Macaca mulatta: one gene and its partner. The protein of the gene in region 2 purifies or fractionates together with the protein of the main gene of each other region. This does not show direct contact. Links are inferred from orthologs where the notes say so. Each region holds a gene or a part of one and is shown on either strand. Other genes may lie near its edges.

Evidence for each region. The genes of interacting proteins can lie anywhere in the genome.
Region 1: the proteins of ING2 (region 2) and SAP30 purify together in Homo sapiens (affinity purification with mass spectrometry; 3 studies listed by BioGRID and IntAct, counting the BioPlex papers as one, with this or other methods). This does not show direct contact. The link is inferred for Macaca mulatta from reciprocal best matches to the Homo sapiens genes ING2 and SAP30.

What each region holds. Positions count from the first base shown.
Region 1 is NC_133410.1:181,805,840-181,809,883, forward strand, and holds the end of SAP30 (histone deacetylase complex subunit SAP30), read left to right. Parts: coding exon 1-53; intron 54-3,229; coding exon 3,230-3,352; 3' UTR 3,353-3,544; downstream 3,545-4,044. UniProt on the Homo sapiens protein: Involved in the functional recruitment of the Sin3-histone deacetylase complex (HDAC) to a specific subset of N-CoR corepressor complexes. Capable of transcription repression by N-CoR.
Region 2 is NC_133410.1:191,950,009-191,954,107, forward strand, and holds the start of ING2 (inhibitor of growth protein 2), read left to right. Parts: upstream 1-1,299; 5' UTR 1,300-1,501; coding exon 1,502-1,673; intron 1,674-4,099. UniProt on the Homo sapiens protein: Seems to be involved in p53/TP53 activation and p53/TP53-dependent apoptotic pathways, probably by enhancing acetylation of p53/TP53. Component of a mSin3A-like corepressor complex, which is probably involved in deacetylation of nucleosomal histones.

The DNA of each region.
Region 1 (4,044 bases), about 10 Mb from region 2:
GACACTTCAAGCTACCAACCAGACCAGGACTTAATAAAGCACAGCTTGTTGAGGTATATATGATTTTTAAACTATTTGAACTATGCACAACCGAGAGGCTGTTAAATGCTAATGAAAGTATTAATGTAGTATATGTAACAGTACATTTAACAGTACATTTTATTTAGAAAGAACAATGTTAAAAAATCTATTGTGGAAGAATCTAGTTGTCTAGAAATGTTTGTCAGCCACTTAGGAAATTCCTTTTTGTAATGACTACTCAGCAGGTTGTGTACAGCACCTTCTGATACTGGCTTTCAAAATGTGTTGTTTGTTTTTTGAGACAAAGTCTCGCTCTGTCACCCAGGCTGGAGTGCAGTGGCACGATCTCGGCTCATGGCAACCTCTACCTCCCAGGTTCAAGCAATTCTCCAGCCTCAGCCTCCCAAGCAGCTGGGACTTCAGGTGTGCACCACCACACCAGGCTGATTTTTGTGTAATATCTTTAGTAGAGATGGGGTTTCACCATGTTGGCCAGACTTGTCTCAAATTCCTGACTTCAAGTGATCCGCCCACCTCAGCCTACCAGAGTGCTGGGATCAGCAGTGTGAGCCACCGTGCCTGGCCCTCAAAATGTTGAATGAGAGTTTTTTTTAATCCTCACTTTAGAAATCTATTAGTTTTAAAACTCCATTTAACCAGTAAATGTTTGAGCATCTAATTGAGGCATAATAAATTTAATTAGCAAGCTTTAATGTCCTTATTAAAATTTATATTTTAAAGTGGTGGAGTAGGCCTACAAATCAGCCCCTAAACAGTATTTTTATAATTTGCTGACTTAACTATTTCAAAATTGGTCCTTGTTGATGTTAGTTTTATTAGAGACATCTATGTTTTCTTCACATCTAGAAGAGGCAAAAGCTTTTCTTTTACCCAATCTTTTACTTGTAGTTTGCTTTGACAGAGGACTTCTAGTTAGTCAGTGAGTTGTGAAAGTTAATGGAGTATGCATATGTTCTCAGGATATAATAGAACCAAGAAGTCTGTGCATCTTATTAAGATGCTTATAGATTGATATATTTATATTTTAATCATATTTAAAATTTTTGCTTGCAGCTACTCAGGAGGATTGATTAATCCTAGGAGTTTGAGTCACCATGGGCAACATAGCAACACTCCATCTCTAAAAAAGAAAATTTAGCCTACTAGACAAAATAGAAGTGTAGATATATAAATCGGTTTTCTCATATTCTTTGCATGGATTTAGTAGTTACCCAACATTTTCTAAAATGTACAACATTTCATTGAATAAAATGAAATATGAATAGAAGTTACATTTATCTGATGGAACGCTTTTTAACATTGTTAAAATCTAATACATTAACTATTTAGCTAAAATTTCTTATCCTTGGTTAGGCAACACGGATCTAATTAATTTTTCTTTAATTTTGATTTAAAAGATCAAGTTCTTTTGGGGTTGTACAATACATTATGTAACGTAAATATAGATCTTGCCCACCATGATGAAATATTTCAGTAGGTACTAATGGAGTGAAGGCACCCCTGTTTTGGAACAAATGAGAACCAAAGAACTAATTATTTTAAATGTTACATTTAGGTATAAATTAAACCTGAAATTTTTGATAAACTGACCTTCTAAGAACAGTTATATTATTTCTAGAGCTATTTTCTTTTTTATACATAAGAGATAGCCATGAGTGTTATATTTTACTTAATCAGAAATGCAGTTATTAACAGGTTAAGGAATGTGGAAATGTGCAGATGTAGTACATATATTTTAAGACAGGGGTCCCCAACCCCGGGGCCATGGACTGGTACTGGTTGATGGCCTGTTAGGAACAGGTCCACAGAGCAGGAGGTGAGCACCAGCTAGCAAGAATTACTGCCTGAGCTCCGCCTCCTGTCAGATCAGCCGTAGCATTAGATTCTCACAGGAGTCCAAAACCACGTGTGAAGTGCACATGTGAGGGATCTAGGTTGTACGCTTGTTATAAGAATCTAATGCCTGATGATCTGAGGTGGAACAATTTCATACCAAAACCAACTCCCCCACCCCCAATCTGTGCAAAAATTGCCTTCCGTGAAATCGATCTCTGGTGCCAAAAAGGTTGGGGACCACTGTTTTAAGGGATTCCAGGGTTGTATGACTAAGTCTTAAGTCTCGTAATTGTTGTGTGGATGAACTTTTTTCTTAAGAAATTCTATTTTCTGGAATCTAAATATGCTTGTCAGCACCTCAGGTAAGTCTATTAATCTTCTATTCGTAATTGTAGTATGCATATTACATTAGCACAATGAAAAGGCAAGGAAGCAGGTAAACATCCTTCATTGAACATCCCTCTTTCTCCTCTCATTTCCATTCACAATTTTTATTCAGAAAAATTTTCAAGGAACCTTAACCAAAGAATGCTACCAAGATACGAATGAATGAATGTAATTTGCAGCAAATAATTTATATGTTATTGTTGATTACTACCAAAAGTTTTCAACTTCATACTTCTTTTTCTATCAGTAGGGTCTAAACCATTGCAGGTTTAATGATGCATGTGGTCTCTTACATCTGTTTTATCTCATTTAAAGTTTAAAAGTAAAAACATGTATTCCCTACTCTAGATTCCAATTATAAAATTTATTATTTTTATCTTATTTATCTTTTTTGAGACAGAGTCTTGCTCTGTCACCCAGGCTGGAGTCCAGTGGCGTGATCTCAGCTCACTGCAACCTCCACCTTCTGGGTTCAAGCAATCCTCCCATCTCAGCCTTCTGAATAGCTAGGATTACAGGTGTACACCACCACGCCTACTTAATTTTTGTATTTTTTTTTGGTAGAGATGGGGTTTTGTCATGTTGCGCAGGCTGGTCTTGAACTCCTGGGCTCAAGTGATCCCCCTACCTCCGCCTCCCAAAGTGCTGGGATTACAGGTGTGAGCCACCACTCCTGGCCCAATTATAAAATTTAAAATAAATAAAAGGAAAATGTATTTTCTAATCAATGTATAGTAAATTGAGTGAGCCAAAAGGTCCTTTGAAATCACATTATCTCTTGTTCATAACATTTTATTCTTAAATGCTTTTTGTCCTGTTGGTATTTTCTTAAATATAATTTTTAAAGGAAATAGCTCTTATCACATAGATTTTTTCTTTGGATGAAACCGTATTTTTTACCTAGTTTATGAAACCTGTTATATCTAAAATTTAATTTCCTTAATTTTTTTTTTTTTCTTTATAGATAGTTGGTTGCCACTTTAGGTCTATTCCAGTGAATGAAAAAGACACCTTAACATATTTCATCTACTCAGTGAAGAATGACAAGAACAAATCAGATGTCAAGGTTGATAGTGGTGTTCACTAGGAGACGTGGAATTGAGACTAATAACTTGGATGATAACACTGTTTACTGTTTTTTCACATGTAGAAATGTTCTTTGTGTATTTTTTCTACAGAGGATTTTCTCTGATTTTATTTTCTTTGTTTCTGACTCTAATAATTAGTTGGAAACTCATGTAAAATGAGCTTTCCTAAATTAAAAACTATTTTAAATAAAGGTTATTACTATTATAGTTGCTTCAGTGTATTTATTTTGTGAAACTTGATTTTTCTTTTAAACTGACTTAGAGATCAGTATTGATATTTTAATGTAAAGTCCTTCATTTTATAACCCCCTTTTTTTTTTTTTTGTAAACTTCCAAGAAATTAACAGGGTAAGGAGAAGTAACAAATGTAGCACATTTGCATTCTCTGGGACAATCTGACTTGGAATTGAAGATATTTTAAATAGCATTATTTTTTTTAAGTGCTTTATAATGCTAGCAAATTTGAAAAATAAGCTTCTATTGGAATACAACTTCTTTTTTATTTCCTTTTTTTTTTTGTTATTATTACTTGATGAAGTACTAGGAAGAACAAATGGTTTAATTTATATACCCACCTCGTTCCAAAGACAACTTAATGTGCCAGTGAAGATAAACACAATGCTGAAAGTCGAAATAAGAACATGAAATGAAATAGCTGTTTTTGAAAATTTTGTCTTTGGGAAAAGATATT
Region 2 (4,099 bases):
ATTAAAATTCTCCATGCATTCATTCTATTTGCACCCATTTCTTTCAAAAAAGTCCATATGAAATTAAAATCAGTTCCTCTGCTTGGCATCTCGTTTACACTACACCGAAATTAAACCCCACTAGGAGATCACGTAGATTACGGGGCCAAGGGCCCGCCCGCTGACTAGGTTTTTACTCGCGTCTGCATGCCCCAGGTCCCCTCCGATTGTAGTCCTGGGGCAGGACCAAGCAAAAAGTCCCGTAAAGCTGGCGTGTGCCCCACTCCGCCAGGAAGCCCCGCCGACGTCCTGTGTTTAAATGTTCTGACACACCCCAAACGCAGTTGTTTTTAAAGGCTGTCTGTGGGACCTATGCGTTGGCAGGCAGATGCCGTCCCGCATCCCTTCCCCCTAAATGACATAGAAGATTCCAGCGCAGGGGAAGGGCCACGAAACCCGCAGGGCACACGACGCCGGGGGCCGGAGGAAGCACCGCCTACCTCCCCGATCAGCCCCGCGGTGCCGGACGAGCCCGAGGGCCCGGCAGGAGGCGGGCGGCAGCCCCAGGCGAGCTCGGAGGCGGCGGGAACGCCTTGCCGCGCATGCCGGGAGACGCCCGCCGCCTGCCGCCTGCCGCCCGCTGCCCGCCGGGACGCGCAGTCCTGCAGGCCTCGCTCCGGGTCGTCCGAAAAAAAGGAACCGCCTGCTGCTCCTTTGCAGGGGCGCGAGGAGCCGCACTCGGACCGCCGGATGGGTAAAAAGCCGGTGTGGCCGGGCGGAGCTGCCCCTCCCCGCGGGGAGGGCGGCCGGAAGGACCGAGCCGCCTCCCCTGCCGGGTCCCATTCAGACGCGGGGCGCAGAGACTGGCTCCCCAGGCTTCCCCTTTAAGGGGGGCGGGGCGAGGCCTGCCGTTTGGCCGCCCCCGACACCCTCCCCCCCTAGCCCGGAGCCGGCAGACCAATCGCCCGGGCGGCAAAGCGAAGGCGGGAGAATGCGAACCCTCCGGTAGGCGGTAGGGGCGGGCCCCGGCCTTATTGGGATCGAGCGCTGCGCAGGCGCAGAGGCGGCCGCGGGCGGAGGGGCGGGGGCAGGCCAGCGGGAGGCTCCCCGTCAGGCACGGAGGGTGACTGGGGACAGGCAGGCGGCGACGGGCTTGTCATGGGGATCCGGGCTGCGAGACGGCACTGGTAGCATCTGGGGACTCCGAGGGGGACAGGAAGTGTCAGCGTCCGGGACCCCGGCGCCGGCCCCGCCGAGGGGATCCCCACTGCTCCGGTCCTGGAGCGGGAGGGGAGAAAGGAGGGAGCCCCAGTTTCGCCCCGCCCCTGGGCTGGTGCTGCGGGGGCGGGGAGTGAGGGCTGCTCTGGGGGGAGTGGAGATCGGGGAGCGCGGCCGTGCCCTCTCGAGCGGCTGCGGGGTCCCCGCGGCGCCGGGCTGCTGAGCTGAGGGACCGCGGCGGCCGCGGCCGGTGCATGTGCGGCTGCTGGATGCGGAGGCGGCGGCGACGGCGCGCATCGGCAGGATGTTAGGGCAGCAGCAGCAGCAACTGTACTCGTCGGCCGCGCTCCTGACCGGGGAGCGGAGCCGGCTGCTCACCTGCTACGTGCAGGACTACCTTGAGTGCGTGGAGTCGCTGCCCCACGACATGCAGAGGAACGTGTCTGTGCTGCGAGAGCTGGACAACAAATATCAAGGTAGGGGCCGCGGGGCTGCCGGCCTCGGGAGCCGGTGGCAGGGAGCCTGCCGGGGCAGTGCCACCTTCCCTTTCTCCCGTGACAGTCTCCCCGAGCCCACCGAGGGTCTGCCGAGCGGGACGGGGAGGACTGGAGACTGGGTTCGCGGCCCTCCTTGCCCCGCGGTGGGCGAGTACTTCTCTGGGGTCCCCGGAGTGGGGGTGGGGGCTGTTCGTCAGCCCCCGCTGCAGACCCAGCGGCTGCAGCTGCCGCGGAGGGGAATCAGCCATTTTAAGCAGCAAGCATTTGTTCAGGCGCTCGCCTGCCCCGTGCCGCAGACCCTGCCGCCCCGGCCCAGGACTGCAGCCGGGCAAGGGCCAGAGGGAGTGAGCGGCCGGGCTCCCGCTGGTCTGCGGGGCGCACTTCCCCACCTCACTCGCCCCCACCCCGGAGTGCGGGTGCTTTGGAACGTGCGGGAGGGAGGGGGCGAGAGGCCGCGGAGGCAGATTGAGGGGGCCTTCCTCCGCGCTCCTACCCCGGCCGGGAGGAGAGCAGTCCGTTCCGCTCTCTGCCCCGGGAAAGTTCTCGGCCGCCCCGAGCCGCAGCCCTAGCCCAGCTCTTTCGGCAAAATGGTTAAGAGGGGAGGGGTCCCCCGCGAGAGAGGAAGAGAGGGGCGTGTGTGGCGGGGAGGGCCCCCGCGCCGGGGGCGGGGCCTGCGGGTGTGACGTGGGAGTGGGCGGGGCGCGGCGCGCGTTCCCGCGGGCCTGGAAAATGGCTGGTTGCGAGAGGGGCGGCGGCGAGCCGGCTGCTGGGGAGGGAGTCGAGGCTGTGCGAGGGCGTTGGTTCGGCCCCAGCGGAGTCCGAGTCGGGGTTTGCAGCATGTTTTGCGGTGATGTTTCCAATCTCTTTCCCAACCAATGGATCAGGACGGAGATTAGCAGCTCAGAGGGTCTCGGACCCTGGCTCCGCGTAGGTTCCGGGACATGTGTCACTTCCGGGCTTCAGGAGGAAGTGGGTTGGTTGACTGGGCAACCGCCTGGCGTCCCCAAGCCCCTCCTTCTCCGACTTTTAAGTGTTAAGGCGAAACCACCCTTTACGGGCCGACCCGGGAAGCCGGGACAGAATCCGACCTTCCTTACAGTGTTATCACCTACTATCGGTGGTGCTACTAGGAGGGCAGTTTAAAAGGGGAAATGTGTTGCGCTTAATAACCTTGAATCGAGGAACAGACCTTGAACATAGTATGGAAACAGCCATATGAACTTTAAAGATAATTTCCTGGACCCATTCTCTGTTTTTGTAAACACGTCAGTAATCCTGTAGTTTAAAAGTCTCTAAAGGAATCCACTTCTTGGGTGACATAAGTGTCTCTGATTTTTTTTAGTTGATAAATTTGTGTTTTCTGAATCCATGGGATTCATAGGACTGATCCGCGTTTGGGGGAGGGGTGGGGGGGAGGGATTTCAAACTGATGCGCTGAGTCCAGACCATTATATAAATATTTCTTTTACAGATTAGAAAGAGTTTAAGTAACTCGTCCAGTTAATTAGATGTAGAATATTTGGCTCCAGCTCCTGCAACTTTAGATGCATATCCTTGTTTTCAAACAATTTAAATTTTAATAAAAACTGTCCAAGGGGATTTCTGCAGATATGGAGCACAAACATGAATGGTAACCTAAAAATGATACGTGCTTAATAATTGTATATTGAACCTTTCTAGTTTTTCAAATAACACTAAAGTTTGTAAAGTTTGCAGTTGCTGTTGTTGTTGTTGCTTCAGACAGAGTCTTGCTGTGTCCCCTAGGCTGGAGTACAGTGGCTGGATCTTGGCTCACTACAACCTCTGCCTCCCGGGTTCAAACGATTCTCCTGCCTCAGCCTCCCGAGTAGCTGGGATTACAGGCACCTGCCATCACGCCCCTCTAAGTTTTGTATTTTTAGTAGATACGGAGTTTCACTATGTTGGCCAGGCTGGTCTTGAACTCCTGACCTCAGGTGATCCGCCCGCCTCTGCCCCACAAAGTGCTGGGATTACAGGCGTGAGCCACCGCACCCAGCAAGCTTGCAGGTTTTTACATTTCTTTGAAGACACGTTTCCTTTCACAAGAGTTAAGCTATTTGAAGTTGGTAAGGGATACTATAATTTGTTGACAGGGAAATCTGCTTTCGGATCATCTATAATTGTGATGTATTAATAGCTCTGGTAAGATTAGTAATATAGTAGGCCTTACAGGACTAAGAGATTATAAAAATTCTTAGCTCCATGAAGATTGTGATCAATGATTAAAAACTCATCCAGTTTTCACTCTTTGCGCATGGTTACTGAGCTCAACTTTCAGTTTTATGTTTATATATATTTTGTGTTTTGGGTTCAGATTTCATGTTTTTTATTTCTTCACTAGTGCTTAAGTCTTTTCTGGTTTTGGATCTAATATTTCTAGCAAT